Regions from separate parts of the Mus musculus genome. Here regions 2, 3, 4, 5 and 6 are each reported to be linked to region 1. The links are microRNA targets in miRTarBase. Many come from high-throughput screens and were not tested one by one. Region 1 holds a microRNA gene; each other region holds the end of a gene's coding sequence. Distances are from middle to middle.

Region 1 (4,090 bases):
TTTCTGATATGTGGCTTATTCTGGACATTTATAGATTTTTGGTAAAATCTTATACCTCTTTTACCAAGCTTATGCCTTTCAATTTGCGTCATGAAGACTGACTATGTAGTCATCTATGTCTTCATTCTTATGGGTCTGACTAACTTTAATCAACTAAACTTGCTTCTCTTATATGTATTCCTCTGAATAGGTGTGAACTGGAACATCAAGAATGAAAATGAAATAGTCCCTTACCCAGCTTAAGGACTGACTTCTCCATCAATCCTGGAAAACAGTATTTATAATAATCTATTAAGTCAGTGCACTAGAACTCTTTAGCCCCTTTCATGGCTCTTTTCCAGTGTTCTTGGGTTATGTGAGGTCGGATAGGGCAATTGAGAGGCTATGGATATCTCTAAAGTGTCTAGCTCTCCTTACAGCAGATGATAAGCAGAGATGCTGTCAAGAAAACCAAAACCAATAACCCATTACTCCTTTCTCTTTTAATCACTTTCCTTGGCTTTTACTAGCTCCAGAGTTGGAAATAAGGTCTCTTTAAGCTCCCTTCTAAAAAGCTCTAGAAGTCTCATCCAACATTTTTCAAGACCTTGAGATGTAAGATTTCTGTCTCTATTTCTAGAGAAGACAATTGATGCCCAAGAAAACTTTAAACCTGGGTAGGACAAAATTTGATACTATCAAGCATTTTGAATAACAGGATCATGATGCTAAACAAAATATCAAATAAATTGAGATGGCTTGGCTCTTCTGGCAGCTGCCCTGGTAGCTATGAGTTCAAACATCTTAATACTTCCCTGCAAAATCCACTGCCTGTTTTGCTCTTTGTTGCTGTTGCTCTCCCTTTTGCAAGGGAATATAAAAAGCAGACAAGAAAAAGTGGTGGGGTGGACAGCCAAGGGACACAATGAGCTGATGGATGATATAATTCCCAAACTGTAAACAACTTGTTTTATGACCTTTTGGAAGTCTTTCCCTAAACATCAGACTTCATTTTCTCATTTATAATCTTGAATGGGTAAAACTAGATGACTTATAAGGGCATTTTAATATCATTAATTCTTTACTGCTTATGAGAAAAGGCAACCAAGTTAGACAAAGCCGGCTAAGGCCACAAGAAATTACTGTTTCAATTCTGTTAAATAAATTATCTATCTTTTCCCCTGTTAGTATCTATCTTATATGTTTAATTTTAAAGCACATTTTAGTCACTTTTATTTATGTACAGGGGATCAAATACAGAGTATTGTACAAGTTAGGTAAGTGTTCTGCTACTGAGTTTTATCTCTAGATCTTGATTGTTTACTTTTTTGTTTGAGAAAGGGTAGTATTATATAGCCCAAATTGACTTTAAATCTGAGGTTCTCCTATCTCTGTCTATGAAAGCTTGTATGCACACATGTACTATCATACCTGGCTATAGCCACAATTTTTGAGTATTTGTTAGGTAACAAACACTAAATTAATGGCTTTATATGCATTATTACATATTCTTGCCATGATTTCATGGGCATTTTTGTGGCTATGGAAGAAGTAGGTTTCAGGGACATAAACTCATTTATTTAAGGTGTTCAGCTAGTTAATGGTAGAGGTAGAATTCAAATCCAGTTTTAAAAATCAACATCTAGGTACATAACCAGGGTAAACAGAGCATACAAGAAGTTGATAGGAGGAAGGAACACATAAATTGTCCCCGAGGACAGAATGATGACAATTTTTTCCTGTTTCAGCTGAATAGAAGAGTTAATTGAGGCTTGGGCCACCAGAATCTCCAGACAAACACCCAGGATCCCCGTTTTTGTTTGGAGCATTAGCGTGTTTTGTTCACTTCCCTCTTTTGGTGTGTCTTAGTCAGTCATGTTAGTGTCTGCCATTTGTCTCACACTTAGGGTAAGATATAATCACCCTATTTTTTTCTCTTTCCAGTTGCACATCTTCCAGCATGTTCTTGCTGCCCAGTGGAGGTTCCTGATCTGGCCATCTGCAGTGTCACGCTCCGTGTATTTGACAAGCTGAGTTGGACACTCTGTGTGGTAGAGTGTCAGTTTGTCAAATACCCCAAGTGTGGCTCATGCCTATCAGCTCCAGGTCCAGGACAGAGCACATAGCCTGCTGCCTACATATGAATGCTTATGAAACATGAAGCTCTCTGGTGTTATTCTATGTCTTTAAGGGAACTATAACATTTATTCAGAGAACATCAGAGTAGGAACGATGCAGCTCTGGGGTCTACAAGTCTGGTATGCATCTGTGTACATTGTGAAAATGCCATGGACTGCATAGTGGTACATGAGGGATACAGGGAATGAGAGTATTATTTGATTTATTATTAATGTCTTCTTTCACTTTCCTCTTCTTGCAGCCAGAATAGCAGAATTTTCATACAAGCATCATGAATTCTATGAGAAAGTAGGAAATAAATATCCACTGTCTGGCCTTCGGAGCACATCTTAAGCTACCTACATTTTCTCTTTTCCACTTTGCTTTTATCATTCTTAAAAGAACCTTCTTGTTTATCTTCATTGGGCTTTCAGACACTACCAAATTCCAATTCCTCTTGGCACTATTGAAAGTTAACCTATACTTTTCTTTACTCCTTGGCTAACCACATACTGGTATGTGCTATTATATGTCCTACCATCCAACACATCTTCTAAAGTTGTCAGTGAATTTTTCCAGGGTATGTTCTTGAATTCCCTATTATATTGTAAGAATCTAGAGCTTATTATATTCAGTTGATTGCTGTCTCTCATACCATTGTCCAACATTTTAATTATTAATAAATATTTACCAATTAATTGATGTTTTACTAGTCAATAACCTTTTGCTATATAGGTCAAATACCAACCAGGGTTTTGCGAAAAAAATAAATCAAACTGTGGGTATTCTAATGCTATAGTGTATACAAGATGGTAACCAAAATGGATTTTTTTTTCCTCTGAGAAATAAGATTTAGGTCTGGGGCAGGAGGGCAAGAAGAAAGAATAGACTCAGAGGGAAAAATTTTTTGAATTATTGGTTTACACGTGTCTTTTTAAACAGAATTTTCTGAGCCTTTAATATTCTATCATTGCACTGGGGTGAACTTCTAATATAGAACTATAAAATGAAGCATCTCCAATCCCTCTCTCCAGAGTCTAACATTTCATAACATATATTTTGGCAAGCTTCTTTAGAGAAATTCCATACTCTCCCTTGGTTCTGGAGAAATTCCATACTCTCCCTTGGTTCTGGAGATACCTACTTTCATTCTTTAACTTTTCACCCACTAACCAGTGACCTAAATAACAAGACCCATATTGTTACCCCAATTTTGCTCAGAATTGTCGGAGGGATGCATCTCTATCTAGGGATGACTTACTGGCTTACCCTGCATGGAAAAATACCATTGTTTAGGGACAAAGACCATCTTCAGAAGATGTCTGCAGCAAAGTACACACACTGCTAAAAATCCACAGGTCTAACCTCCAGTCTTTGTTCTGCCATTGACTTGATGTATGTTACTTTTGACAAACCTTCATTTCTCTCTGGGCTTCACTTCCCAATTTGTGGTATGTGAATGTTCAGATAAGTAATCTGTAAACATTTTCACATGCAAGAATAGGAGACATTCCTGGTGGTTCCAGTGTTGGGGGTTCCCTGAATTTGTGGCTCACTTTACTAGGGCAATTTCAATAAACATTCTCTCTTCAAGCCCAGGGATTAATTCTAAAGAGCAGAATGAGATAAAGGGTGTTTTCAAGGCTTTCAGGGCTGGACTCACAGATGTTTCATGAAGGAAGCTGAGGTTTCTACTGGGTGGTACCCAGGTTGTGGAGGCTGGTAAGTGAGATGGAGAAGAAGAAGTCATCTCTGACACTAATTATGCATAGCTAGCATTTGTCAAAGAAGAAAATGCTGAGATTTTGGTCATAGACTTGGCAGCATCAGTGGGGGTAAAATAGGGCAGACTGTCAATCACTTTTGTGTACTATTTTGACTTTTGCAGTCATTTCAAAGTGGGAGTACCTCTTGTTGAAACCTGATCTGATCCTGTGCATATGCAGACTACATAGGCAACATGGTAGTTCCCATGAAAATTTAGGAAGTTGAT
Region 2 (4,090 bases), not on the chromosome of region 1:
GCACTGCACTGGCTTGACTTCCTCATTCACAGCCTTTTTCAAATGTGAAACATTCTGCCTGCATTAGGAATAACCTGGAAAGTTGGAGTTGGGCCTATTTCCCGTGTAGATTGGAGTAGAAACAGAATAGGCGGCAGGAGACTATTGAAGGAGTGAGATATTAAGTACTATTTCTAGTTCATAAGAAAAGTCAAGTATCTAAAGCGGTATAAACAATTGTTCTGCAGTTCCTTCTTGTCTTATCCTTATTAAAACTATAAAGACAAGACAGTTTGTTTTGTGAATTTTACACAAATCAGTTTTGAAGACTGAGCACAGTTGCTTCCAATTGGAGAGATATTTCAAAATATTTCAACTAGCCAAGCTACTGTGATAGAAATAATCTCTATGTCTCAGAGTCCTACCAGTATTACATCTTATTTTAATTGTAAATGCTCAAGGAAGATGTACACCTTTGGTTGAATGCTCCATGGGCTTGAAGGGCCTGTTAGTTGACTCTACACAAGCTGCTTTGACTGGCTGCCAACTAGCTTCTGTCTTGCTGAGATGTACTTGACTGTCTTTTCATTGGCATTTTTCTCCTTACAGATCTTAGAAACCAACCCTACAGACGAGCCGATGCGGTGAGACGAAGTGTGAGACGGCGCTTCGATGATCAGAACCTGCGTTCTGTTAATGGTGCCGAAATAACAATGTGACTGGAGACCACCTTCATGAGAGGGTGTCCAAGAAACTGCCATTCCAGCCTTCACTACAGATGAAATACTCTCAAGGGCTCAGATTTAACAAACACATAGGAATTTTAAAGTGATGGGTTCTCTTTTTAACCCCTGTTAACAAGTGCCTAAAATTGGAAGTAACTTGCTCAGATTAATCAAAGCAATAGGTTTGACTTAAATCTTTTTACATCAGTATGTTACTCAGTTTTTTAACCAAAATGTAAACTTCATATTAAATTCATTATTTGCCATTTTGATTGTCCATTGTGGCCCACCCTGATTTCCTGGTAATCTGTAAATAACGGATGTGTGTGCTATGGGTATCCTTTGCTGAGAGGTCTTCTAAGAAATTTTGTGTTCGAGCCATATTCACCAACTCCTAACAAGGGACTGGAAACGGGAGATGGAAGCTGGCATACAATTACATCCTTCTTTAGTCTCAGCAAAGTACAAGCAGGATGCAACTGCAGTGCCACTCCAAGTCATTCGATTTTATCCTATTTCATGTTGTTTCTGTGCAAGGCTGCCATGCACAAAGGCATTCACTTGTATGACTTCAAGATGGCATAAAACATTGAAGACTTATTTGCAGAACTGTGTTAAGCTAGAGGCAGCTTTTAATAACGCAAAGGTTTCTTAATTAGCACTAAAATTAATGTCTCAGTATTCTGATTTTTGAGGACCATTATGGGTGAATCCTTAAAATAGAAATTGGTGCCTTGTTAGTCAGGGAGATTTTTACCACAAGCTCTATCAGTAAGCATTCAAAAATTACATGTATTAATGTAATGTTGGGAACCTGGCCTTATTCTCTTCTGACAATCGAAGGGTCCTTTTTTTTTTTTCTTCCCTTTGTAAATTATACTGATACAGTTGACATTAAGTTATCAGGGCTGAATTGCTTTATGCATTTCTTACTTATGGGAAATTCCCATTAAATTAACATTGAGATTAAGTTTAAATTATCCGCGATAGGGTTAAATGGTTGACTAAGTCACTCACCTTTACTTCCTCACTGACAAGGCATTTCCATCTTTCCCAAAGTCAAAGACTGGACTGAAGCTAAATTTGTACTTTTCATAATATATATTCTGCTTCTGGCTTACCTTGTTGGTACATCAGTATATTAATTGTAAAAATTATTGTATAGTATTTAACCACCAAATCTGTGTTCATGTGAACCCCTTGGTGAAGGCCCCCTTTTCATGGATGTGTAGTTATATGATCTTTAAAATGTACAGATATTTTGCTATAAGATTGGTGCAGTTTTTTATGGTTTTTACACTTCTCTTTAATTCCTACCTAAGCCTTTAGGTACTACTGTAAATATTGTTTTAAAATGCATCAGCCTATGCTACACAATCTGAATGTTACTTTAACTTATAGTTTGTTTTCTGAAATATATATATATTTAACTACAAGGACAGTTTAAAAGTCAGTTACCACATTTCACAGTAGTATGCCTATTTACAGATCCCTTTTAAACTGCCACTTGCTGTCACACTCATAAATGTGTAGTTTAAAAAGAACATGCCAAGATTGTCGTCTTGTTGAGTCAATATCCATCTTGGTGAGTATATTAATTTGATCATGATATCAGAAAAATATGTGGACCTCCTTCACACAAATCAGCTGCTTTCCAAAGGCGTGCATTTGCTTAAAGCAAACTGCCCATTTCCCAGTGTACAAATGGACAATAATGTTGGCATATTCTTCTGTCTGTCTAGTAATGGCCCTGCTTCTTAGCAATATTAGAAATGTTTTATAAAAGCAATCCATGTTACTTTTCTGGTCTTTTCATGCCATTTGAGCAAATAAACTATTTACACTACTATTCGGTCATATGTTCTAATCCTTTGTATATTTTATCTGTTTTAGAAAAACTGCTCCCTCATATTCTTTATTAAAAAAAAAAGAGATATTGTCATCACCTACATATAAAGAAAGGCTCCCCTGATCTCTCTTCACCCCTTCTCTTTCAGCTGTTACCTTGCCCCACTCTCTCTCCCAATAAACCTCAAGTGGAACTGTTAAAAAAAGTTGTGCTCCCAAGCCAAGAACACAAGCCTCTCCTCTCCTCTCCTGCCCAGTTCCCCAAGTTCTAATTAATTGCAATAGGACTTTTGACTTATTTAAAATGTCTTAAGGTATTACACATTTAGAATTTTTTGAATGTAACTAGAACAGTACAGCTCAAAGGATGATTTGGTTAGATTTAGAGATCATTTTATTAAGAGGGGTTTAGTTGGGGATCCAATCCTGGCCCTTGCATATGCTACCCCTGAGAATTAAGTATGCTTCCATCCGGTCTTAATGCCGTGCCCTGTGACCTGAGTCACTTCCTACAGGACACAGAATAGAAGTAACACAGCAAATCACTGAAACTACTTTGCTGCAGAATTACTACATTTTACAGAGGCAGATGAATGCTTTTATAATTCTATTTAGCATTTTGTTTATTCTAGTCTTTATTAGATATACAAGAACAATTTATTAAGACAGAGTTCATTCTCTAGCTAGCTGTTCAAAGTTGTATTTTTTTTTTTTTCATTTTCATGAAAAGAATGGGAGAAAACAGGTACAGGTTCTCCTGATCAGAGTTCCTTGAGGGGGTTGATTAAGGTCTAACTTTTTAAGCAAAGTGGGTACTACACTGAGAAGCAGGGTTGTGGGCACTTCAAGTCACAACAGAGAACTGTGGGCAGTAGGGCAGACACTTAAAGAGAAACGGTGACACAAATCCAACTTATTTAATAAATATGCCATTGCTCTATTTACAAAAGGTCCGTTGTATCTATGAGGTTCCATACATCACACAAATATAAAAACAAATAAAAATCTGGTGATTGCATAGAAAAGATAAACCTTTTGCCAATTACCTTTCTGAACAAATCCTGTTTAGTTGTAGAGGAAGGCAAGATGACTACACTAACACCTACCCAAATATGTTAGTAGTCAGGACCAAAAACCAAAGATTTCAGTAACCAGGAGATACTCTAGTAACAGTCACAGCATAGTATCAAAAAATGGCTTAGCTTGAATGTGATCTGCTCCATAGCCCAGATTGAAGAGCAGCGTTATGGACTAGCCTGTTTCTTTGAAATGTAAACATTAATTATACTAGGGTCATCACTGTCAAAGACTGGTTCCACCGATGACCTTGAACTGAATCCACTCATTCTCAAATGCAGCTGTTGAGCACATACAGCAGGTTTAGGAATAGCATCTTATTAAGGAACTTAAACGGGGGGGGGGGGGGGTCGGGTCTAAAATGGAGGACAGCTCAACAAAGTGTATGTTATCTTTCATTCTTACATTGAAAGGAGCCCCAAGACATGGAGTGCAACAGTGTTACCATGACTCATCCCTTT
Region 3 (4,090 bases), 6.3 Mb from region 1:
CATGAGGACTCAGGGAAGAAGCTATGTAAGCATGAGGACCCAGGGAAGAAGCTATGTGAGCAGGAGCACCCAGGGAAGAAGCTATGTGAGCATGAGGACCCAGGGAAGAAGCTATGTGAGCATGAGCACCCAGGGAAGAAGCTATGTGAGCATGAGGACCCAGGGAAGAAGCTATGTAAGCATGAGCACCCAGGGAAGAAGCTATGTAAGCATGAGCACCCAGGGAAGAAGCTATGTAAGCATGAGCACCCAGGGAAGAAGCTATGTGAGCATGAGGACCCAGGGAAGAAGCTATGTAAGCATGAGCACCCAGGGAAGAAGCTATGTGAGCATGAGGACCCAGGGAAGAAGCTATGTGAGCATGAGGACCCAGGGAAGAAGCTATGTGAGCATGAGGACCCAGGGAAGAAGCTATGTAAGCATGAGCACCCAGGGAAGAAGCTATGTGAGCAGGAGCACCCAGGGAAGAAGCTATGTAAGCATGAGCACCCAGGGAAGAAGCTATGTGAGCAGGAGGACCCAGGGAAGAAGCTATGTGAGCAGGAGCACCCAGGGAAGAAGCTATGTGAGCATGAGCACCCAGGGAAGAAGCTATGTGAGCATGAGGACCCAGGGAAGAAGCTGGCATGGTGCTGGGCACCCAGACAAAAGGATGCTTGAGGTTCACTGACCAGTCAGCCTCATCTAACTAGTATGTCCCAGGCAGGGCATGTAGAAACCCTGTTCATCTTTGGTGGATACATACTCACTTGTTATAGAAATGGTTAGTGAGATTTCTGTTTTGCTTTTTGTTTTCTAAGACAAGGTATCTCTATGTGGTCCTGGCTGTCCTGGAACTCACTCTGTAGACCAGGCTGGCCTCAAACTCACAGAGAGCCACCTGCCTCTGCCTCCCAAGTCCTAGGATTAAAGGCATGTGCTTCTACCACCAAGTTCAAGCCAATGAATATTTTAAACAATATGTGAAATATTGAGAATACTTAGGAGAGCAAACTATTTAGTTTTCTAATAGTTTAGAAATACCACTTATATAGAGTTGAAATAGAGTAAGCACCCATCTTATGTTTTTAGTGAGCAGTCTGTCTAAAGATAGCACTAAACCTGTGGCTTTTTTATATATGATATATGATGTATGATAATGTACAGTATATAAATGTTAGTCTTATTTGACCCAGTTGAGTATACTGTATAGCAAAACGTTATGTGAAATAATCATGAATTAGCTTCAGTCACAAACCAGATAAGCTTTTGTGCAGTAACACCAGACATAGTCATTTCTTAGTGTTTATTCTAACTTCAAGACATTATGTGTTTTTAAAAAGTTCTAGCACACTTTTCTTCATGTTAACAGTCTTAAAATGAACAAAACGCCAGTAATATTTTCTGAAAAGTTACTTTAAAAATTAAATAGCATGGTGTGAGCATTAAATCCACAGGCAAATCCGTAACTCCAGAGAAAGATAAGCATCAGTGTCAACCGTAAAGCAGAGGTTCTCAAAGAAGTGGTAGCTCCCGCCCACAGTGCTTGGGGTACACTTACAGGCCATGAACACACACACAGGCACAAAACGGGCTGTACAGTCTCCTCAGAAGTGGTGAGAAAGCCCCTCCCTGTGTTTATATGGTTTGTGAGAGGGGAGAGGTGGCCCGGCAGCCGTTTGCATCCCCTGCCTGTCTGCTAGCACGCTGCACTTAGCCAGGGAGCTCAGAAGACTCCTCACTCTGTGACTGTTTGGAGCTCACTGCCCCTTTAGCCCCATTACTGTTCTGGGAGAAAACCCTTAACATTTGGAGGGAAAGGGGAGTAGGAAATTCTCTGGGTAGAAACAAGGAAAACCAGGAGAAACCTCTGTCAAGTCAGGCTACCTACACAGCGAAGCAGACAATAGGCCAGAAGGGATATTTCTACTACCCTTCGAGTGTCAGCCTGAGACCAGCCACGCCACTCTCTCACACATGCACAACATGCTTTCAAATGTTTTTGAGACACAACCTCATACCCACACTGCCCTGAAACTTGCTATGTATCCCAGGCTGGCTTTGAATTCATGATCCTCCTGCCTCAGCTTCTCAAGCAGCAAGTATGACCAGGCTTGCTTTGCAATAAATATTATTTACATTCTTATTCAGTCCATCCATGTAGAGACAGACAGACAGATCAAAAATGCTTACAAATTATTTAACCACTTACAAGCACATTCAGAGATATGTATAACAATAGATATTTGGCCACAGTTACCAAGATTAAAGGTTGTAAGTACTAGAATTAAAAAGTCAAACCATGTAAATGAGAGACTTGAGGAATGAATGTGGAGAGAGCTAGGGGTAGCCGGATGTGCTGGGGACTGAATGAGAAGGAATACCAAGGTCCTGGAAAGGGGCATTCAGTAGGGCAGCCCCAGAGTGGACGGGTGGTTTCTCTTTGCTTAAGATAGGCTTCAGTTACTCTCTGTGTTGTGTGTGGCTACACTCCAGAGGCAAGGATTTGGTGTCTAAGGCTGTCCACAAGCAACCTACCTGCCTCTGATGTTCTCTCGGCCCCCTATGTGTAAAGCACTACCTACAGAACTTCTTTCCCTTCCTCTCTGGAATTAGGCTTCTGGCTTCTTTTCTCTGGGTTATTCCAAGTATTAACACAGAAATTCTTAAACTTCCATGTGAGCTTACATATTTTAATATTTCACCACAGAGACAGTAGGCATTGTGGACAGATATAGAAAGAACAATGAAAGGCAATGCTTCTACAAAACACCCACTCTTTCCCCACTCAGAGCAAAGCAGCCTTTGAGTGAAGAAGGAAGCCATGATGTGGTACTGGCTTTTCCTAAGTAAAGGCACTTAGAGTCGACAGTTCCAATTTACAGCAGCACGAAATCCAACTTAGCATCTACTCTCTTGAAATGATGGCCTAATCAATACCCACCACTCATATACACACGTAAAAACCAACAAATAAGAAAACCAACTTACAGGAATAAGTTATTAATACCTACTCCCCAATAGGAGTTTAAAAACTAAGCCACTAACAGCTCTACAGAATCAACGCACATGCAGACTTCTATGAACCACAAAAGTAGGGATAGTGACTGCAGGCGCAGTTGAACCTTCGCTCTGGAGTCAAGTCTCCAGATAGGGCTTCGCTCTGGAGTCAAGTCTCCAGATAGGGCTTCTTTTCTTCAAAAGTAGTGAGATCGTCAGCAAAGTTCTCTCTTCCTAGGAGGGATGGGGCAGGAAAAGGGCCTGGGGGAGTGATCAGGTGTTAACATGTCAGTTCCATGCACAATCAACCAGACGGGCTAGCTACTGAAGTGTTCTAACAGGCAGAACCCACAGCCCTCACTGCATGGCACAGAGGCTGTGTGGCAGAAACTCCTGCACGTAGGTGGCAGCTGCCTTGGAGAGGTAGGTCATGGTGCCAAATCTGCCACTGGGTGCACTGTCATACAGGAGAGTACAGATGCCAGATGCAGGATCCTTTGCCAACATGGTATCATCTGCGCCGAGGGTTTTCTATTTGGTTTAAAAGGGTGGGAAAACAGAGTGAAAGGGAAAATTACTGATCCTACTGAGTCAAACTCTAATTAGTGTGCCTCTGAGCTTCCTCCCCAGCACCATTTCTCTGGCTGTTTAACCAGAAGGGGACATGAAGGGTTGTGCAGGATGGATATGAACTTCTATACATAGCACTTGTCACTAGACTCCCGAAATTATTTTAATTACTATTTAGAATTTTCTATTATAAAGCATTTTCAAAATAAAATATCAATTAAAATTTGATTAAGTGAGTCACATTTGCTAATAACATCCTCTGTTATTAGCACTTGGAGAGAACCCTAGTGAGACTATATTGGGATCCCCCACCTTGGGTCTTTCATATTTTGTTTGGATACTTCTGTCTTCTCTCACAGTGGTTAAGAGAAGGAAATACCTGTTATAGGTTTTGGGTCTCCTGTAGCTAAAGCCGGTCTTGAACTTACTAAATAGCTGAGCCTGGCTTTGGTCTCCCAATCCTCTGGCCTCCAAACTCCTAGATGCAGTGATTGCAGGTGTATTCCACATTGGACAACCTACCTGTTCTTGAAGGAACAAG
Region 4 (4,090 bases), not on the chromosome of region 1:
AAATGTGGTCAGGGAAAATCCAAGCAAAAATCTAATTTGGAACTGGTTAGCAATAAATGGCCAAGTATCCACAGCTAGGAAGCAGGGCTAGTTTTAAACCTAAACTAAAATGTAAAATAAAGTGCTTTGTCTAAATCCTATTGTTCATAGTGTGTTTTCAATCAGAGCAAAAGAGCCCTAGTTTTGTTATTGCTACATCAACATCACACAAACAGCTCTATTCAGTCACTGCATGAAGGACAGGGGAAATGTGGCCAACTCCAGCCAACCTGAGTTCTGCTTCCAGATTCACAGACACATGGATTAGTGTTCATGAAAAACTGCTTTAAAACTAGCACTCTGCCAAAATCTTAAGACAGAAACTGAAGCCACCAAAGAATGTAGTCAAGATCAATGGACAGAGTTGGCTTAAGCAGTTGTGCTGTTGGCACCTGTTACATAATCTTAATGGTGTTCATTTCAACATAATTACCCTACACTACAAAGAAACAGAAGTGGATAAACAGCTTGGAGAAGGGATTTTATAGTCTGAGGAAGGCCCATTTTCTCAGGCTTGTCCTCTTTGTGTCCCCCATCTCTGTACACTCTGCTGTGATGGTATTCACAACTGGCAAAGGCTACTCAATGGAGACCCTAAAGGAAGCAGGTCTTAGATGTGGTTGGGAAGCCAGGAGCAGGATGCTCACAGAGTCATTTGTGGGCTAGAATGGCTAAAAATCATTTGTTCTTTTTTGTTCTTGCTAAAAGTATAACCTAAAATTCTGATACCTTCACACTTGACTAGACTTAACCTAAATGCCCAAACCAATAAAACCTGCATAGGTTGAGCATCCCTAACCCAAAAGTCTAAAACCCAAAACACTGTATGCATCACAGTGTTCAAAGAGTTTCATGTTTCTGAAATTTTTATATTTTGGGATGAAGGGATGCTCAGATGGTAAAGTCTTATCAAGATAGCCCCAGATCCAAAAGAAGCCTGAAACACTTCTGGCCCCCAGTATGTTGGATGACAGCTACTGTGTCCCACACTGAAAATGCACCATCAGAATCAGAATTCCTGGCACCTGTAGTCTCTGGGAATTGACAGGTACGGATCACAATTCTGCAGACTGCATGGAGTAGCAATGCTTCGAGTAGAGCACAGCATTAAAATCACTTCTATCCCCCAAAAGTTGTGGGGATTCCTGGCTTTGGGAACCAACTTATTATTGATGGATCATTCTAGAACTTTGCAGTTCTTTTTCTTCTATTTTTGTTGTTTGTTTTGAGAAGGGGGTCTCATGTAGCCCAGGTTGAGGTGGAAGCTACCATTCTCCTCTCTCCATCTTCTAAGTGCTAGGATCACAGGCCTGTACCACCATACCCATGAAGAATTTTCAAATGTTTATTTGAAAGTAAAGTTCTCCGGGCCCAGTGGCTCAGGCCTGTATTCACTGTAACTTGAGAGACAAAGGCAGGAGAATCAGAGTTTCAAGATATGTCTGGGTTACAGAATGAATTACAGGGCAGCCCAAGCAACAACTCAGTAAAACCTTAGCTTGATAATGACAATAATTATGATGATGATGATGATTGTGGAGGTTTGTATATGCTTGAACCAGGGAGTGGCACTATTTGGAGGTGTGGCCTGGTTGGAGAAAGTACATCACTGTGGGTGTGGGTTTTGAAGCTCTGCCAGTGCAAAAGAGCCAGCCTTTTCCTAGCTGACTTCTGAAAGAGAGGTAGAACCCTCAGCTCCTCCAGTGCCATGCCTGCCTGGATGCTGCCATGCCCCGCCTTGATGATAATGGACTGAACCTCTGAACTTGTAAGCCAGCCTCAATTAAAGTTTGTCCTTTATAAGAGTTGTCTTGGTCATGGTGTCTGTTCACAGCAGTAAAATCCTGACAATTATGATGACCAAACGTGAAAAGAGGGCCAGGGAAATAGTCAGTTCAGTGGACAAGGACTTGTCTAGTGTGCACAAAGATACAGGTTTAATCCCAAGAACTGAGGAAAAGAATAGATAGATAGATAGATAGATAGATAGATAGATAGATAGATAGATAGGAAGGAAGGATTTCTAAATGTAGTTTACAAATCTTTCTTGCTAAAACAAAATATAAAAAAAATTTTCCTATAATGTTGGCTATCGTAGACATTTTTGGTCAACAGTGACTTTGCCCCTGAAATGCATATTTCTAATGTACAGAAGATGCCAGAGGGAGCTTCCTGATTGCATGTCAGTGACGAGCACACAGGTTTTACTGTCAGCCTTTCCACTGCTATAGTAGGAAAATGGACACCCTAACCCAACGCAATGTCTCTGGAGGGTTCTGAGACTCAGTGAACCCACAATGCCAGGCATACAGATTAGGACAGCATCTTACGGACTTTATGTGGGGACACTGAAGCCAGGTGCCAACTTTATAATTTTCCCACAGTAAACCAAAACCAGAATACCCTAAAATGTGACCAGAAGTCTCTGTTCACAGTAAAATTCTGAAGATCCCATAAGAAGAATTCCTGCAAGTTTGGCCCATTGTTATTAGAACTTCTACACCTAAGACTAACTGGCACCTGAGATACAGAGTAATTTCCTCAGTTGCCCTAAAAGTTCATTGTTTTGGTTGTTAGCTATATTTGGCAAGAAATATATATATATATATATATATATATATATGTGTGTCATATCCTATAAGCTGTCATTCACTGCTCCTGATAGCAGCCTCAGCATATTTGAGCTCAGCATACTGTCTGCACTGTGGGAAAAAACAGAGCCCCAGACATAAGAAACAAAGAAACATATCTGAATTTCTACACCTCCACTTGCAAGAAGACTAGAGTAAATCTGGAAGTTCCTGGCACAATCTGCATAGAACACACTTAGTATTTGCATACATTTTTAATTTCTATGGCTAATATCAAAGGTGAATACCTCACACTTGTCAAAGCACATCTTTTCCTATTTTTTTCCCATGGGTCAAAATTCCTGCCTATATCCCCTGGCCCAGGTGCACGTTTTAATTCTAAACAAGTTAGGTGAGGTAGCCCATCCTGCTCATAGCAACAGCCCAGAGGGACACCTCTCCCTCCTGACAAGGTCCAGACACAAACTCCAATAGTCAGTCCTTCAGGAGAGAGGAAGAAGGAGGTGGACTAGGATCTCTCCTGCCTACCATCCATAGTCCATCAGATCACACATGGCTTCAAAGATGCAAGTCTCTCTCTTTATGTTCCCCCTCAGAGCTTTGATGGCTTGGTGAAGCTGGAGCCAGACACGGAGTATCTGGTAGCAAACTGGACTGTGTTATCAGTCCTCTCAGGGGAAGCTTCCTAGCCATACACACAGATTGTTTTGTTCCTTTCAAAGACAAGATTATTGGGAAAAACAACCAAGATAGACAAGCAGGCATCTGGTGGTACTGGTTCCTGCTGTTCTGGTGGAGACCTTTCTGTTCCCCATCCTCCAGCTGTGAGGACAGGGGGTGACTTGGGCTATATGCAGGGCTCTCTGGGTACTCCATTCATAGTGTGTTTGCCTCTGTGCCTGGTAAGCAGCTTTCTGTTCAGGAGCCGGCCGAGGGTCGCCCCCTTCTTCTGCCTCCCCTCTGGCTGCTGCAGGAATACCAGGTCATTATGTGACTGGCTCAAGCCCGGGTCTTTCTGTTGGTGTCGCCGGCGGAAGAAGAGCTTGGCACCTTTCCTTAGGAGTCCTCCTGCAAAAGGGAAGCACAGGAGTGGTCAGAGCCATAGGGAGGATGAACTCAAGCCAAGGAGGAAGCAAAGTTGCCAGACAGCTGTGACAGAGTCAGTGCTCCCTCAAAGAGTGACCACTGCCCAGAGGAGCAAACAGCACAGCCTAGATGATAGGAGGTCACCCTGTAGAGTGAAAGGCAGAACATTCCAGCAGTAAGACTGGCAAGGCTACACTGTGGAGTGGGTGGGCTGGGATCTACCATGGCCCCTCCCCTTTACTAGGAACTCTGTGAGCAAGGCTATGCAGTATGCCCAGGAATAAAGGCCATGTTCCTGATAGTTAAGCTAAGAGCCCTGGAGAGGGTGAAGAAAATGGATGTGTTTCTGTACCTAAAACATATATCAACATGTT
Region 5 (4,090 bases), not on the chromosome of region 1:
TATAAACTGCCGAAATCACAGTGCCACCCACATGTCTACGAACACTAAAAATCTGGCATTCAGAGGGCTGGGAATAGAACTCAGATGGTAGAGTAATTGTCAAGTACCTTTACTCAGCAGTCGGTCCCTAAGTTCTGCATGGGTCTAGCACCCCTGCCTTCCACAAAAGGGCCTGGCATATGAGAGATCCCTGGTAAATAAGCAGATGTGTAAAGAGACCTGTTTTAGAAAGTTCTAATGCTTTCTGCTGAGAGTAAATCAGGAAAAACTTCAAAATTGTAAGCCCATAAAGGCAGATACTGACTCTTTAAGGGATCTGGCAAAATGACAAATATTAAAATGAATTGGCCAAGAGTTCTTTTAATTAAGGATTAGGACTATAAGATTAAAAATGTATGATGCCTCAGGTATGCAATCCTAGAATTTGGATGACTGAGGCAGAAGGAGCATGAGGTCACCTACTGAATTACTTAATAAGACCTAGTCCCAAAGGGAAAAAAAAAATCAACAGCAACAGGAGGAGGAGGAGGAGGAGGAGGAAGAAGGGAGAGGCAAAGAAGGAAGAGGGAATAAGGGGAAAAGTGGTATTTCCAACTCAGTTTCCATGAAGAGTATTCTGTGACATCAAACGAGTGAATAAGTTTGTAGAGGCAGTGCATCTCAAGCCCATCCACAAAATAGAATCCCCCATAGGTGCTTTTAAAAACCTAAGTTCACTGTCCCCATCCACAGAACAGTTTAACCAGATTCTATGTATGTGATATTAATATGTACCTACTATGAAGCGACCTGTGTCATAAGCACTGTAAGAACTCAACCAACCACATAAGCAAACAGCTGCTCCCCTTTGCTATAATCCAGGTTCTAGAACTACTGGCAGATGGTGCTTAAATGATCCTCTTCTCCAGCCACCTTTTTTCAGAATGATTATGAAAGAGTTCCCTTCCATTAACACTCTGTAGAATTTTGTGGAAATGTGCATGTTGTCCTTCAATATGGAACAGATGAATTGGGCTCTCAACAGGTAGCTACAGTGAGTGAAATTTTAGATGTTTATGTAAGTTTGTTATTAACCTTAAGCACCTTATGGTGCTCACAATGGAGAACACAGTTCAATAATTAGCAGAAGCAACCTCTCTAAGACTTATTTGGAGAACAATTCTCAACTGTCTTCTTGTTTAGATCTATGAGAACTGGGGCAGCAGATACACCTGGAATTCTTCATTGGGAATTAAGGGATCTATATAAACTTTGAAAAGACATAGCTGAGGTATTAACCAACAAATAAGGGACATTGATCACTAGAATTCAGGGTATTGAGAGCTTCATGGACAGTTCTTTATCCATAAGGCAGCTTTGGAGTCTGTTTTGCCACTGAGAAAGAACAGTGACTTTAAAATCAAAGGTATTTTGACAATAACATGTAACTAGGTAATTAATATAAAATCTGTTTCAATTACCAAAGCTGTAGAAAACTAAAAGTTGTCAGAAGTCCAAATGTATGTGTTAGCACTGATAGTGACAATTGATGGTTTATTTTCAGAACTCCTCATCACTTTTTGGAACAGCTTGAACCTTAAGATCGCTCTGTGGTTGCTGATGTTCCGGCTTGCTTTGACTAGATAAGATGCTTCCAGTACCTTCTGGTGTGGTAAAAAGGCAATTAAACGACATCTGTGCTATGTGTGTTTAAAATGAGTGGTTCTTTAAGTGTAATTTGATTTGTCAGTTGATCCTATAGAATAAAAAAAAATTTACACTTTCAAGCAGGGACACTTAGAAAATAAAAATATGTTGTTTTAATGTTTTAATATTAAAATCATAAATTCAGGCTGAAGAGATATTTCATTCAGTAAAGTGTTTGCCTTGTAAGCATGAGGACCTCACTTTGATCCCTAGAAACCAAGGGAAATAAAATGCCAGGCATAGTAATGAATGATTGTAAGCCTAGCACTAGAAAGGGGTAAAAACAAAAATCTCTGAAGCTCACTAGCCAGCCCCTCTGGTAAGTTCTAGGCCAATAAAAAACAACTTTGTGGAATTGGTTCTCACTTTCCAGCCAAGGTTGATCTCTGGCCTCCTTATGCACACATGTAGGCATATACATGTACTCACATGTGAACATGAGACATACGCACACATACCCATTGATAACTTAAGAAAGCACAGAAGGCTGGTTAAAGGCACTTGCTGCACAAACCTGGAGACCTAAGTTCAATCTTCAGAATCCATATAGTTGTTTCCACACAGTTGTTTCTTAACCTCCACGTGCCTGTCATGGTATGTGAACACCAACACATATAAAGTATGGATTGACTTCTGATCAGCCTTCACAGCAAGAGATTTTACCCATTAAGACACTTTGCCAACCCAAGTTCTTTTAAACCTTACACAAGTGTTTTTATGGAAATAGTTTTACAGAAAAATAAACTAAAACCAAAAGAAAGTTAAGATTTCCCTAGTTCTTCCTAAGAATGAAAATACAACCCCTCTCTTAACTATTAGTTCTCCAGCATCTAGTAGCCTAAAATGATATTCATAAAATGTTCTGCTAACGTAAGAATAAAACACCTAACTAAAATCTGTTCTACTACCCACTCCCCACATGTCTAAAATGAGTCATTTTGGCTTAAGTGGTTTGAGCCACGTTTCTCTACCATATCTTTAACACATAAAAATGCACAAAACTAATAAAAATACAGAGCCAAAACAAATCACTTAATGTATTTAGGCCTTTTTATTTTAATAAATAACTTCAGTTAATAGCACTGTCAAAATGAAAAGGCACTTAAAACAAGATTGTGACTAGTTCGAGACAGAGCAAGCATGTAGGAAAGGCATGTGCAGGTGCACTGTGGGTGAATTGTTGCTGGGGGGCCCTGCCCAGGCCCTGTAGTCCTGCAAGCAGCAGGACAGCTTACAGTATTTGTGAAAAAGGTAAATGTACAGCCAAGGAAAAGAAAAGGTAATGATAAAAAGTCTAACCCCCATATTGCAAACAGACACATTAAAAGATTAGAGAAGGTGATAAAGGAGCACCAGGAATTAAAGAAAAAAAAAAAGGTAAAATAAGCTCAACCCAAAAGGTCCCCACTCAGCAATGCTACTAAAATTATGGCCTTTATGTGAATAGTGCTAAGTCAGGGACTTTTTAGCAGAGAAGTTCCCAGTACTTTTATCCAAGGTTGGATTTATAAAGAAAAGGCGTCGGAGTTACAGGATCAAGTAACTCACAATGGCACACAGGTTTTAAAGCTAAGATTTCCTTCCCACCTCTCAGAATTTTTCCAATGGACTTGAACATCAACTGTGTCAATTTTATTTTAATTGGAAACTGTCAACACTCTTGTCTTCCACATACATCACTGGGAATTCCCAGAGGGCAGCCAGCAGGCTAAACAAAGAACAAAGCCACCAGCAAGGACTGTTCTTTGATTCTGTATAACCAGCCCTGGCCACCCTGTGAAGCTGAAAATCAGTCATGGTTCAGATGCTGCGACGCTGCTCAGCTCTGCCCTGCATTGGCACTAGCAGTGTCATTCAATCTAGTGAGAGCTTGATTCCAATGGTCCAGAAGGAAGGGTTAAAAAGGCACACTGTGACCTCAGCTGACAAGGATAAAGATCCTTTCTCAAGTCTTCTGTCAGTCCCTGGCATGGATTATAACATTATTTTCAAAATAATAAAAAATTAAAAATTATACATATTGTACATTTTCCAAACCTGCATGTGAATAAAACCCTGGCCACAGAGCCCCAAAACTACCCTACTGTGACTAAGATGCTGCTGCTGTGAGCTTGGTGTTGCAAAATCCGCCTGAGTAGGATTCATTTTCCCTCATACTTCGGATTGACCACAGTTGTCACGGCACTCTTGTAAATAGGATTTTCACCCTAAAAAAAACACAAATTGCCAGTTACTCTCTAAAATCAGTGTTCCAAAACAAGATTAATAGCTGCAGTTGTCTTAATAAGTCTCTTCCAATATCCAGTGTCAAATAGAGTTTAGAAGGCAAAGATAAAATCCGACACAGTGGTGAGAAGGCCAGCTCTGACCCAAAAGTCTCAGGCTATTAAAATATTGTGCTCTG
Region 6 (4,090 bases), not on the chromosome of region 1:
TGTCCCGTTTTGCTGGGTCCCCTCCACCCTCTGGTTCTGAGGTCTGGGAACAGGAGAAACAGGTATCTGGGTGGGGCCTGGGGTCTCCCCAGGTCCCTGCTGACCATGCCTCCGCCCTCAGACAGGACAAGCTGAAGGTGCACATGCGGAAGCACACGGGTGAGAAGCCGTACCTGTGCCAGCAGTGCGGCGCCGCCTTCGCGCACAACTACGACCTGAAGAACCACATGCGGGTGCACACGGGGCTGCGGCCATACCAGTGCGATAGCTGCTGCAAGACCTTTGTGCGCTCCGACCATCTGCACAGACACCTCAAGAAGGACGGCTGCAATGGGGTCCCCTCGCGCCGCGGCCGCAAGCCCCGTGTGCGGGGTGTGCCACCCGATGTCCCTGCCGGGGCCGGCGCACCCCCCGGGCTCCCGGACGCCCCGCGCAATGGCCAGGAGAAGCACTTTAAGGACGAGGAGGAGGACGAGGAGGAGGCCAGCCCGGACGGCTCAGGCCGCCTGAATGTAGCGGGCAGCGGAGGAGACGATGGTGCAGGTGGCCCGGCGGTGGCCACCGCCGAGGGTAACTTCGCAACCTGACTCGTATTAAAACAAACCAAAAACAAAACAAAACAAAAAACTAAGAACAGAGAGAAACCACCACCCACCCCCAGCACCACGAGTAAGCAGTTCTCTGTCCAGACGCCCTCCATCCACCTGCGCGGACGTGTGTGCGTGTATATACCATGGCCGCGGGCGCCTGCCTTTCTCAGATCCTTAGGATGTGGCCCCATCTGCTCCTGTGTCCCTCGTCCCATCCACCAAGGGGTCCCACGCAGGGGCCCAGCCTGCTCTTGGCTAAGGCGAGGGTGATGGGGACCCCAGGACAGGCGCCCGGCTCCTTGCTGGTTGGTTTTAGGGGGTCTTAGACAGACCTTAAATGCTCTGTCCACTATGAGTGGACGTTAAAATGGTCCCCACCCTCCTTCCTCAGGGCACTTACTAAAGAGGGGGGTGTCCCCTCGGCCTCCCTCCCGGCCTGTGGCCTCCGCATCTCTGCACATCCACCCTGGCCACCACTGACATACAAATCTATTTATTCCCAAGCCTGGATGGCCAGAGCGGGGATTGGGGGGGGGCCGCTGGGGTCCCCGCCACCCTCCTTCACGGCACTTACACCTGACGGGGCCCTCGGGGCCACTGCTCAGGGCGACCCCCCCCCCAACCTTCCCATCTCTGCTTGGCCATGCCCCCACCCCGTGTTCAGAGATTGAAAATTTGTCGTCACCCCACTCCCCACTTTTTAAGGCACTTTTTAGATCGATTTCCCCTTTGACTCCTTAAAGACAGTTTATATAGAGATATATATAGAGAGAGATATATAAAATATTCTTTTCCTCAGAGGAGCCGGCAGCAGTTTTGGGTGGACATAGCCAAGATCAGAGGTAACCCCAGGGACTCAGGCAGAGACAGACAAGGGAGTGAGAGAGGCCACAGCTTAATGTCACAAAACAGCAATAAAACCCCAAGATTTTAGTAAACACGAAGGCAGAACATTTTTTAAAAAATCAGCAAAAGCGGTGACAGCCACGTGGGGATCTTGGCACTTTGTAACTGAACGGGTACTTTTCATTCTTAACTTGAGAAATGTTTACAAGTTGCACCCAGCTTCTATGAAAAATTGAAGAGAGAGCGAGAGAGTGGGAAGTAACTAAGTCAATTTATTTTTGTATAAAATAAAAGAACCCCAACCCATCGCTCCGGTAGAATCCACTTGCGCTCCCGAGACTCAGGGTGGGGCGTCCAGGGCGCCATGGGAAGGGACCCGTGGGTCCCCCAGTCTGCCAGGGGCCTCTGTCCCCCAGGTTATTTTATTTTCTCATTGTCTCTGTAGGAGACCACAGGCCTGGGAGCCGCAGGCCACCTGTGCTGTCCTTCCCAGCTCAGGGATGTCCCCGAGAGAGGGCTGGTCCTCGACTAGCCAGATCCCCATGCCCCATGTCTGTCCCCTCCCCATGTGGTGGTCCCCCTCTTAGGCACCCCCTCTTTTTACTCAAAGGCACTGACTGTAACCCAGGGGCTAGCACCCGAGCCCCCCATACCCCAAACTCTGGCTTCCCCCAAAGGCCCGGTATTGACCGAGCCACAGGCCACGGACAGGGGCCGGGGTTGGGGGACATGGCTGCTGGGTGCCAGGGCGCCCCCCGTCAAACCCCGTGGCCAAGGTGGAACCAAACTTGGGACCTTGTCCATGCACACTCTGTCCAGCCCTTCCCCATGGGTGCCGGCGGGGGTAGCGGGTGTTCCTGTGTCCCCCGCTGACAAATGTCTTTCTTTGGTTTTAAAAGGAAGCTCACTAAGAAGGTCGCTTTCCAGTTTCTAGCAGAGGGGTTTTCCTTTCTAACTCCTCCTACCACGCGAGCCCTCCCCCCCCCCCCAGATGTCTCAGGATCCCCCCTTGGGGCCAGCAGAATGGGCCCAGGGGCGGGGTGGTGCTGGCCTCCCCTCGCACCCCACTTCCGCAGTGAGCTGTCCCGGGAACTGTGCTGTGGAGGCCAAGTTGGGCCCCCAGCCCCCATTCCCAGACAGGTCAGCCCCTCCACCTTCTCGCAATAAAACCAACTTTAATCACATGTCATCCTGGCCAGTGGCCACTAGACTTGGGGTGGATGGAGCCCTTGGGGACTATGGTAGGGTGCCCCATAACCCGCCAGCGAAACCGCAACCCCCTTGGGAATTGCACTAAACCCTTGACCCCCGCTCCGCGCTCAGCTTCTGCCCACCCACACCCACCTTGCCTTAACCGCCAGCCCGTCCTAGGGGGCCGCAGCCACCGCATGGGCCCAGCGCCGGGACATCCCCCAGCCCCCTAAAGGCCCGCCCGTACCCCGCCCCCCAATATACTGCAATCACATACTGTATATAGAATGCGGATCAATTTTTACAAATTTTTATTCTTTAAATTAAGGCCGTGATAAAAGTTGCCAAAGAGAATTGTGGAATTCACTAGAGGTTTGAGCGGAGGGTGCTGTAGAAAGGTTTTATTTGGTTGTTTGGGGTTTATTTTGTGTGTGTGTGTGTGTGTGTGTGTGTGTGTGTGTGGTTTTTTTGTTTGTTTGTTTTTTTGCTTTTTTTTCTTTTTCCTTTTCCCTCTACTTTTTTTTTTTTTTTTAATTGCCTGGTACCAATAACAAAAAGGAAAAAAAAAACACAACAGAAATTTGTTACTTCCATTATGGTGAATTTGCGTGTGTGTGTGTGTGAGTGTGTGAGACAGACAGAAGGGCCCAGGCTGTGGGGTTCTGGGGACCCCAGTGCTGGGGAGGGGACCAGCCTGCAGCTGGCCCCAAGCCTGTGACCTGAGCAAGGCCACCCCTGCTGAGTAGTTGCTGCTCTTTGCCTTCCTATCCCTACAGGCCTTTCGAGATTAAGAAAAAAGAAAAAAAAAGGCAAAAAATAAAAAAATAAAAATGAAAAAAAAAAAACTATATATCTATAGAACCCAATGAATGTACATGGCAGACCTGGCCCAGCCATGGTTCCGTCATGGTGGGATCGAGTGGTAGAACCAAAGTGGGTGCCCTGGGGTGCTCATTCACCCTGTGTGAGCACAGCTGACCTGAGGGTGCTCGGTGGGTGCCCTTGGGTAGCCAGGGAAGGCTGTCACTTGTGGCAGGCATAATGGCAGCCTCGAAGCCCAGGTGGAGCCCCGGCTGGTCGTTCAGGGAATAGACAGTGTAAGTAGGGGGTGTGTAGGAGGGACACAGGCTGAAAGGAAAAATAGAAAAAAAACAAAAAAAAAAAACCAAAACCACAAAAACCAACAAAAAAAAAAAAAAGAAAAAGCAAAATCCTATTTTTTGAGAAAGAAAGATATTTATATTTGCAGTTTTATTTTAAAAAGTTATTTAAGCTGAGGAAACGGCCTTCCCGGAGTTCGGGGTGGCTGGCACCGGACGGGTCAGGGGTCTTGGGGGGCTCCTCACCCCAGGAATGATTATCTCAGTTCAGAACTAGCTCGCACTAAATATATATTGATTTACCTTTGTGGGGGGCAGGGGGGCCAAGAGACAGAGGGTCAGGGGAGCCCCGCCCCAGGCCCA

The links. The annotated mature microRNA mmu-miR-223-3p reads UGUCAGUUUGUCAAAUACCCCA and lies in region 1 at 2,037-2,058, shown strand. An mRNA with a match to its seed (bases 2 to 7 or 8) in the 3' UTR can be bound and repressed. Matches are read on the target gene's strand: a 7mer-m8 pairs with bases 2 to 8, a 7mer-A1 pairs with bases 2 to 7 and ends in A, and an 8mer does both.
Region 2: miRTarBase lists Fmnl2 as a target of mmu-miR-223-3p. Seed matches in the 3' UTR shown: 7mer-A1 at 1,734-1,740.
Region 3: the mRNA of Phka1 is a reported target of mmu-miR-223-3p. Seed matches in the 3' UTR shown: 8mer at 3,266-3,273.
Region 4: the mRNA of C2cd2 is a reported target of mmu-miR-223-3p. Seed matches in the 3' UTR shown: 7mer-A1 at 2,221-2,227 and 7mer-m8 at 1,929-1,935.
Region 5: miRTarBase lists Itgb1 as a target of mmu-miR-223-3p. Seed matches in the 3' UTR shown: 7mer-A1 at 3,642-3,648.
Region 6: miRTarBase lists Zbtb7a as a target of mmu-miR-223-3p. Seed matches in the 3' UTR shown: 7mer-A1 at 1,066-1,072.

The regions. Positions count from the first base shown.
Region 1 is chrX:96,240,848-96,244,937 of GRCm38, forward strand. Mir223 (microRNA 223) reads left to right here and starts at 1,970; the gene lies at 1,970-2,079. It overlaps F630028O10Rik (RIKEN cDNA F630028O10 gene), which reads left to right. Exons shown (of 3, transcript NR_030718.1): 3 at 191-2,795.
Region 2 is chr2:53,131,252-53,135,341 of GRCm38, forward strand. Fmnl2 (formin-like 2) reads left to right here. Exons shown (of 27, transcript NM_172409.2): 27 at 589-2,951. The coding sequence ends at 627. It overlaps Prpf40a (pre-mRNA processing factor 40A), which reads right to left. Exons shown (of 26, transcript NM_018785.3): 26 at 3,451-4,090. Among named protein-coding and RNA genes, the nearest start is that of Prpf40a, 58 kb to the right of the region's middle.
Region 3 is chrX:102,512,706-102,516,795 of GRCm38, forward strand. Phka1 (phosphorylase kinase alpha 1) reads right to left here. Exons shown (of 33, transcript NM_008832.2): 32 at 4,072-4,090; 33 at 1,270-3,510. The coding sequence ends at 3,337. Among named protein-coding and RNA genes, the nearest start is that of Hdac8, 9.6 kb to the left of the region's middle.
Region 4 is chr16:97,855,879-97,859,968 of GRCm38, forward strand. It overlaps C2cd2 (C2 calcium-dependent domain containing 2), which reads right to left. Exons shown (of 14, transcript NM_174847.2): 14 at 1-3,698. The coding sequence ends at 3,478. Among named protein-coding and RNA genes, the nearest start is that of Prdm15, 6.7 kb to the left of the region's middle.
Region 5 is chr8:128,731,826-128,735,915 of GRCm38, reverse strand. It overlaps Itgb1 (integrin beta 1 (fibronectin receptor beta)), which reads right to left. Exons shown (of 16, transcript NM_010578.2): 16 at 2,337-3,893. The coding sequence ends at 3,828. It overlaps LOC108167564 (a long non-coding RNA gene), which reads left to right. Exons shown (of 5, transcript XR_003947630.1): 5 at 1,544-1,682. Among named protein-coding and RNA genes, the nearest start is that of Gm26100, 37 kb to the left of the region's middle.
Region 6 is chr10:81,147,849-81,151,938 of GRCm38, forward strand. Zbtb7a (zinc finger and BTB domain containing 7a) reads left to right here. Exons shown (of 3, transcript NM_010731.3): 3 at 122-3,809. The coding sequence ends at 587. Among named protein-coding and RNA genes, the nearest start is that of Zbtb7a, 14 kb to the left of the region's middle.